Cricetulus griseus: one gene and its partner. The protein of the gene in region 1 binds, or shares a complex with, the protein of each later gene. Links are inferred from orthologs where the notes say so. Each region holds a gene or a part of one and is shown in the gene's direction. Other genes may lie near its edges.

Evidence for each region.
Region 2: the proteins of Rps6ka3 (region 1) and Bmf are in contact, whole or in part, in a crystal structure (PDB 8R58), measured with the Homo sapiens proteins. The link is inferred for Cricetulus griseus from reciprocal best matches to the Homo sapiens genes RPS6KA3 and BMF. Residues at the interface, in NP_004577.1 of Homo sapiens: Trp252, Phe259, Phe268, Leu281, Ala283, Lys284, Leu285, Gly286, Met287, Pro288, Leu299, Arg300, Phe303, Lys304, Arg305, Asn306, Asn309; in NP_001003940.1 of Homo sapiens: Glu8, Leu10, Glu11, Asp12, Asp13, Val14, Phe15, Gln16, Pro17.

What each region holds. Positions count from the first base shown.
Region 1 is NC_048604.1:94,271,873-94,275,683, forward strand, and holds part of Rps6ka3 (ribosomal protein S6 kinase alpha-3), read left to right. Parts: intron 1-1,106; coding exon 1,107-1,196; intron 1,197-2,969; coding exon 2,970-3,128; intron 3,129-3,811. UniProt on the Homo sapiens protein: Serine/threonine-protein kinase that acts downstream of ERK (MAPK1/ERK2 and MAPK3/ERK1) signaling and mediates mitogenic and stress-induced activation of the transcription factors CREB1, ETV1/ER81 and NR4A1/NUR77, regulates translation through RPS6 and EIF4B phosphorylation, and mediates cellular proliferation, survival, and differentiation by modulating mTOR signaling and repressing pro-apoptotic function of BAD and DAPK1.
Region 2 is NC_048599.1:59,933,256-59,937,862, forward strand, and holds the start of Bmf (bcl-2-modifying factor), read left to right. Parts: upstream 1-1,556; coding exon 1,557-1,679; intron 1,680-2,048; coding exon 2,049-2,178; intron 2,179-4,140; coding exon 4,141-4,437; intron 4,438-4,607. UniProt on the Homo sapiens protein: May play a role in apoptosis. Isoform 1 seems to be the main initiator.

The sequences.
Region 1 (3,811 bases):
GTTGCTCACAGTAGTCCAACATCCACTTTTGATCTCTGAGGGCTCCTGCACATGCATGTACACACATATAAAATAAAATTATTTTTTAAAAGGCAGCACTTAATACTCTTCCAGCAGACCCAGTTTGAGTCCTGGAACCCATGTGGGAGTTCACAATCATCTGTAACTCCAATTCTGGAGACTCCAACACCCTTTCTGGCCTCAGTGGTCACCAGACATGTATGTGGTACACAGATAGATATACACATGTAGGCACAACACCTATACACATTAAATTTTAAAAATATGTTTGTATAGTACTTCAATATACTAAAAAATTAAGAAAAAATATAAGCAACTGACATAAAAGAGTTAAAATCTATGGTAACATTTTAAAGAGCTTTATATAGTAAATGTAGTCAACTAATATTCTAGGGTGGTTTTATACGGAGATTTTCTGCTTAGATTCAGAAATAAGCTTGTTTACTTAATTTTTGTAAGTAGCTTACAGCTAATGTGATAGTCCATTAAGATAATTAAAAGAAGTAAAGTTAGCTGGATGGTGGTAGCACACGCCTTTAATCCTAGCACTTAGGAGACAGAGGCAGGTGGTTCTCTTGAGTTTGAGGCCAACCTGGTCTACAGAGATAGTTTCAGGACAGCCAGGGCTACACAGAGAAACCATTTCTTGAAAAAAGAAAGAAATTCTGTGCAATAAGCAGATGCTAATGGTGGTATTGGAGACACATCTATCTCTTAGTTTTCTGTATTGATAGGTGATTAGAAGTTGAATTCTCAAATGTTTGAGAAATTCAAGGATGAAAAAAATGATGTGGTAACTTTGTTCTTGATGACTTTTCTTGAGGCTTTTGAATTTTAATAATTCCCAAATTTACTACAAACTTACCTTGAAGTGACCTAGTAGGAATGTGTCACATGCTTAGCCTTATATAGCCATCTATGTGGAGACTACCTTTCCAATGAAATAATCTGGGTAAGTACTTAACAACAACTGATTGGTAAATGGCTTGTGTGTACAGTGTTTACATGTGATGATACCTAAGGTCTATAACTAAACATTTATGGTTCATGTTCAAAAATATTTATGATAAATATCTGCATTTTAGATTATTGATAAAAGCAAGAGAGACCCAACAGAAGAGATTGAAATTCTTCTTCGTTATGGACAGCATCCAAACATCATTACTCTAAAGGATGTAAGTAGATTCTTTAACAAAGATCACTTGAAGCAGTTGTCAAACTCATATTTAGGATATTTTTCAAATATTATGTGGTAGAGAAAGACCACTTCAGAATAGTCAATTTAGAAAGTAAATTCGAATGGATGAAAGTAGAAATTATTATCTTGAGCTATGAATGATGAATACTGCATAGTCCTTCTCATATGAAGATCCTAGATTTTTTTTAGTGTGTGTGGGGGGGGTATACAAAAGTGGGGATTATAGGTCATGAAATCAGAAAGATGACCTTGGGAGTTGATGAATGTTGTTTAGGATGGGGATATGACTTGTAGTAGGAAGGAAAGGGCCAGCAGGACAGAGAAGGGAATATACTGGAGGAGGAGGATTGAGTTTAAAAAAAAACAGCATTTATGAAAATCTCATAATGTAACCCATTACTTTATATATTAACTTAAAGTAAATATAAAAAAATAGATTGGAGAAAAATATTAGAGGGACAGCTCAGTGGTTAAGAGTACTTGTTGCTTTCCCACAGGACCTAAGTCTGATTCCCAGCACCCATCAGGTGGCTTACAACCAACCACCCGTACGTGATTCCAGCTCCATGGGATATGATGATTCTAGCCTCCATAGGCACTAACACTCACATTCATATGTGCACACACACACATGTGCACACAGATGCATACACATGCAATTAAAAATATAAATAAATCTTAAAAATTAATAAAACTTTAAGAATATCTAATTTTCTGCTTTTTCTTTAAAAACTATTTTAACATTATTACTTATAGTATGTGAATTTGAACATATAAATATTAATATTCAAGATTTGTGAGTGTCTCTGAAGGCTCCCTATGCTATCCTCCCACCTGCCTTCCTCTGTAGCAGTTTTCATAGTTTTTTACACATCCTGTTATAGTGGGAAATTACCAATACAGAACCAAGTGGAAATATAAGGGTATTTAATAGGGAAAAGCCTTACTTACAGAGCGACCTAGCCAGCCGGCATGGCAGCGGTCTGTCCAGCAAGTACAAAAGTGAAGCTGAAAGAGAAATGCAGTCCCCTGAAAGTCTCACTCTACATCACCCTGACCACGCCCTCACAAGCATGGTCAGGCACACCTGTAGCCAGCCCCTAAGTAGGCATGGCTACAGCTTCCCCTACATCCTGTGTTCTGGCCATGCTTTATTTGGGATGTAGACTTTTTAAAACATGCGTATTTCATTTTCTCCAAGTGCTCTTTGAATGTGTCGACCTTTCGGTGGGAATATCATTTCCCTTTTTTACCTGGTTGACTGCAACAACTAAGACTCTGCTACAGGCTGCTTCCTTCCAGGAAGCCTTTCCTGTCCATTACCACTCCCAGGATAAGTGAGGTATCTTTTACCTGGGATGCCCTGGTACCTCTATCTCCTGTGGTTTTTATTATAACTGAATTTTGACAAAAATATCCCTGTCTCAAGTAGTCAGGTTTCTCGATTGTTGGTGCTCACATAGGCTCAGAGGCTGTCTAGATATTGTCAAAACTCTTATTTTCTCAGAATGATTTCTCTTAGATAAATGATGTTGTCTAAGTCTCATTAAATGTGAAACTACTCACTATAAATGACTCTAACACAATCTCCAGAAATCCTGTATTGGTTTTTCACAAGTAAATTTTTCTTGAACATGCAATTTTTGTATCTTTTAATATATTCACTTAATCTTTAGTATGTTTAAGTAGTAATTTAGAGACATACATAAAGCTTCAAATCATTTTTTATGTTTTTATTTAAATTGTATAGGTGTATGATGATGGAAAATATGTGTATGTAGTAACAGAACTTATGAAAGGAGGCGAATTGCTGGATAAAATTCTTAGACAGAAGTTTTTCTCAGAGCGAGAGGCCAGTGCTGTCCTGTTTACTATAACTAAAACTGTTGAGTATCTTCATGCACAAGGGGTAAGTCTTTTGAACATAATTTATGCACACACATACTTATATATGCATATCCTTTTTTAATACTCAAGCTAAAATTAAAATTATAAAAGTAATGGAAAACTGTAATGAGCTTCATTATCCTACTGCTTTTCCTTTATACAAACATTTTTCTTTGATCCTGAAGTACTTTGAAATCTTAGCATGCCTATATTGAGTTGTTATGCTCTTTACCCTTAAAAGCTAGCAAGTGGAAGGTGTTAGATCTATAGCTTTCTGGCTGTGGCTAGTCAATTTGCCTAGAACTGTACCTTGAAGTCGGTATAAGACAATATTTGTTGAACAACTGATAGCTTTACAGTTTCCTAAGTCATCTGTGTTCTTTTTCCCATGCTTTATCAGTTAATTAGGAAAATAACATTAATGTTCTGGATGTTAGGAACTAAAACTAAGGTGATTAGCATGTAGACTTGGAATTTGGTGATTGAAATACGAATTAAATCTAAACTCTTTTTAAAAAGAGAATGATTTTGTGTATGTGACATCTTTATTTGTACATCGAATAAATGATACTTTATTTGGGTTTGGATTTGAATTTTTTTTTGGTTTTTAGAGGCAGGGTTTCTCTGTGGCTTTGAAGCCTGTCCTGGCACTTGCTCTGTAGACCAGGCTGGCCTTGAACTCAAAGAGATCCACCTGCCTCTGCC
Region 2 (4,607 bases), on another chromosome or scaffold:
TCTTTCCCCTCTTCTCTGTGGCCTGGGATTAGGACTTTCTTACATGAGCAATCATGGACCACAGCCCTCTGTATGCCTGCTTCATTCTTCACTTCTTTCAGATGAATTTTGAGGAAACAAAGGAAATAATAGATAGTAAAAGCATAAGAAGCCTGGCATGGTGGTGCATGCCTGCAATCCCAGCTTTTGGAAGACCGAGGCAGGAAGATCAGGAGGTCACCTTTGGCTATATACAGAGTGTGAAGTCAGCCTGCTACACACAAGGCACTACCTCAAAAAACAAGCCTGCCTCTATCACAGCTCTAGTAGGCTGTGGCAGGAATTGGTTCTTTTCACTGACTTCTGCTCCCTCCTTCCTCCGTGCTCCCCTGTCTTCCCCTCACCCCCCCCCCAATTCATCTTCTGTAAAACCTTTGCTGCCAGCCCTCTATAAAATACAGATTCCTCAGCCTGGTTTTCCAGTCGCACCTCTGCAGTCTGACCCGAACCCGCCTGCCCACACTTACACATCTAAGTCATGGTGAGGATGCCAGATAGCTTGCTGGAGAGGTGTGCCCCTGCTTCCTTGGACAAGCTTTCCAGCAGAGTACTTTATTCTAGCTTCCTGCCTTCTCTGGGCTTGGGCTGTTTTATTTGGATTTTACTTAATGAAAAATTCCTCATTTTTCTAAGCTCGACTCAAAATCTCTGCATTCTGAATTTTCCTGCACCCATAATTATCCCTACACGGAACACCATTCATGTTGCTTTCCGTTATTCGAAAATAACGGGGTAGAAGTTCACTGAGGTCAGGCACCAGAAGTCTGGCACTTAGTCCTGTGCCTGGCACACAGTAGGTGTTCAAGAAATGTGCAGTCATCCTTGGGTCGACCATAGTACGTGAGATGCTTGTTGCTTTCCCAGCGGCCAATGAAGTCTTCTGATGCGACCATCAACAGGTTGTGTCGGCTGCCCAAGCTGCCCCTCTTGATCTCGCCTCTGCCAGAATCTTTTTTTCGCACATGTTCTTGCCCAGTCCAGAAGAGAGGACCTGGGCCTCTCATTGCACTTGCTGGATCCAAATGTCATTTGGTTACAGATGCACGTGTTTTCCTCCAGCTTTCCTCGGACCCACCCAAGCAGGCGAGAGGGCGGCGCCCTCCCCCCTTCACTAGGGACCGACAACAGCTTTTTCCCTCTACAAGTTGCAAGCCGCTGAAAGCTCCCAGCCTCCTTCTGAGCCGGCTTTCTGGAAACTCCGCAATAATTCAGTCCATTTCCAAGTAGACAAAAGTCACTTCGGAGCCCTGTCCTCCCACCTAGTGGAGAACCCAGGGACTCCCTGGCGCTTCTGGGGCCTGCCTTAGGAACCGAATCCTCACCCGACACAGCGCTCCAATTACGCTTCTGGCGAAGGTCAGAAATGCGCTCGGCCCCTTATAGTGTTTCCAAGGGAAGGTTTGTACATTAGTGACCGTCCCTGGCAGCTACCCAGCCTGAGACTTGGAGCTCCACTTGTCATTGGTCAATGGTTGGAGTGACGCGAGAGGGGCGGGGCCTCATCAGCTGTTTGCGGGATGCCCGGAGCGGGCGTATTTTGGAAACAATACCGCGAGGTGCGCCGTGGCCTCCTCCCGCGCCAGCTCGCGCCCGCAGCAGCCACTGCCCCAGCTCGCGCCACCGCCTCCTGCCGCAGCCCGGTGAGCGCCCGGGCGGCCGGGGGCCAGGCGGAGTTGGATCGTGCCTCCTCCGGGAAGTGGGGAGCGGAGTCGCGCGGCGCGTGGGGGCCCGGGAAGGGTTTGGATTGCGGACATCTGGGGTGACCATGAAGAATTGGGGTGCCGGGATGTGGGAGCGGGGTGCAAAGCACAAATTTGGGCGTGCTGTTCCAAGCGGGGCTTTAGGGAAACATTTGGAACTTGGAGTTGAGAGTAGGTGGGCAAGTGACCCTGGGGTGCACTGCCAAGCGCTCGGAACGTTCTGGCCTCCGGGTCTGACTCTGGGGTGGGGCCGTGAGTTGTGGTGCATTTTGCCTCCCTGCGAACTCTGAAGGGTCCTCTTCTTAACAGCTGGAGTTTGCCCCCTCCTTCCCAATCGAGTGTGGGCGCCAAGCCCCCCGAGTGCTCATCACCCTGGACCCTGGCGCAGAGCCCTGGCATCACGACTCGGAGGCTGAGACTCTGTCCTGGAGTCACCCAGGTGTGTCTGCGCTCGTGTGTGCGCGCGTGTGTTTTGAGATCTTAGCCACTATCGATCTTCAAGGTGTCTAGCTAGTGCCATCTCCCAAGAAGAGGAGGAGTTTTAATTGAGCATCCCAGTTGGAGCTCTGAGGCTCTGGGATGGCTCCAGCGGACTTTAATCCCTTTGCTAGGAATAAAGCGTTCTCTGCTGTGCTCTCAGGAAGTGCCCTCTTCTTACCAGTCTGGACATTACCACTTTAGCTCAGGGAAGCTGAAGGTCTCTACTTTTCCCCATTTTACGTTTGTCTTTGCCCAGAACCTCTTGGAGGCGGAGGCTCACACCAACCGGAGAGCCACCTGCAGTTCGTGTGCAGAGTGGGAGGGGGTCTCGGCGTTTTCAGAGTCACACCCTCTGGCTGCACCTCCCCCACTGTCCAGTCTAGGCAAGGGTTGAACTTTGGGGCTTTGCTGGGAGGGGGAGGGGAGTGATAGGCATCAAAAGAAACACCAAGACAATGACTCCTACTTGTGATTGGCTCTGGAGGTCCCTACTTTGGTTGGGATTACCAGCCTGCAGAGAAGGGGATGAAGGACAGGAGAACTGCTTGGTGACAGCTCTTGGTCCTTTTATCTGGGAACTTGATTTTTCTGTTGCTGATAAGCTGGAGTTCCCCCTTACCAATTGGAACAATATCCAAAGATATGTGCTTTGCCATCCTAGCAGGCATGTATGGCATCAATCTCCAGGGAAGAAAGCAGAGACGAGGCCACAGATAGCTCAGGGATGTGATGAGGTGGAGTGCCGGATGAGGCAAGAAACTCAGAGCTCACATTTGGGGAGGGAAGGTCTCCGAACTTAACTAAGATTTCTTTAAAGACAAAGCTTTTCTTTTAAAAGGCTTCTTTAAGAACCCACAAACCACTTGGCTTGTCTTTCAAAGGCAAGACCCTAGTGGGTCAGAAGAGTCTGAAGATTACCAAATTTGTTTTTGCATTGCCTTGACCATTCAGGCGCTTGCCTATGATTCTGGTTGCCCCCGGGGCATGCTTGGAAGCTCAAGCTGCTGGGTGACTCCAAGTGCAGAATTTCATGAGCCGTCAGGTGGAGCGAGAGGAACTTAACACTAAGAAACAGCCCCCGCGGTGTAGGCAGTGAGAGAGAGCACAGCAAGAGGGCTGAATTTCACTTCCTTCTATGAGGCACGTTGCACCTATCTCAGGTTCAGCTCTGGCAAGAGTGGGAGGCTTCGTGGATGAAAATTTGAAGTCATGGAGATTAGTGGGTAGAATTAGCAGGACACTTTGCTAGAGGCTGATTCAGCCTTCAAAATTAACCTGTGCTGGGCAGACAGCTCTGTTCCAGTGGAAGAGAGCTGAGCCAGGCAGCTGGAGTGACTAACTTAGGTCCCCTGTTCCAGGACACTCACCACACCACAGAGCCTGTTTGTTGTGTTGTGCAAGGAGGGGGGTGGAGATGTGCAGTAGGGCAGGGCTTAGCAGGTTAGGAGGGAACCTGGCTGCTCTACAATTTCTGGCTTTTGTTTTTGCTGCTGAGCCTGGAGTTCAGCTCAGACTTAGGGGAAAGCTTGGAGGTCCCTCCTCAGTGTGTGTGTGTGTGTGTGTGTGTGTGTGTGGTTAGTCTTGCTTATCTTTTCCCAGGTACCCTGTGATAGCACCTGATCTTAACCCTTGCTTACATACCTCAGTGCCCAAGCTTTGTGACCAGCCTAGGCTAGAGAGTATGGGGAAAGGTGGCTCTGGTGGGTGCAGGGAGGAGGTATGGAGGAACCTGACCATTGGGGTGGTCCATACTTTATGGGTGAATGTCATCCTTGGCAGTGTTTAATTACCAGAGTTGTGTATCATCAGAAGCTGGCTTGGTTCCCACAAATAAGAAGAATGGGAAAGGAAGGAGGGAGGGAATTCTTCGTCTGGCCTCAGTAGGACAAGCATCCCAGATGCCTCCATTGTTTTCTGACAGGAGAGATGGAGCCACCTCAGTGTGTGGAGGAGCTGGAAGATGATGTGTTCCAGCCAGAGGATGGGGAGCCAGGGACACAACCTGGGAGCTTGCTCTCTGCTGACCTGTTTGCCCAGAGCCAGCTGGATTGTCCCCTCAGTCGGCTTCAGCTCTTTCCTCTCACTCACTGCTGTGGTCCTGGGCTCCGGCCCATAAGCCAGGAAGACAAGGCCACCCAGACCCTCAGCCCAGCCTCCCCAAGCCAGGGTGTTATGCTGCCTTGTGGGGTCACAGAGGAACCCCAGAGACTCTTTTACGGTGAGTGCTCTTAGCCTTAGAGATTGGGGGAAATGAGGGGACTTTCCCTTCCCAAACCTGCTAAGTACTATTTCCTTCCCCAAACTGAACAACAGCCAGGGCTATCGATCATACATCAACTTCCAACCCTCTTCACCCGCCCTTGGGCCCCCAAAGGCCAGATGGCTTTG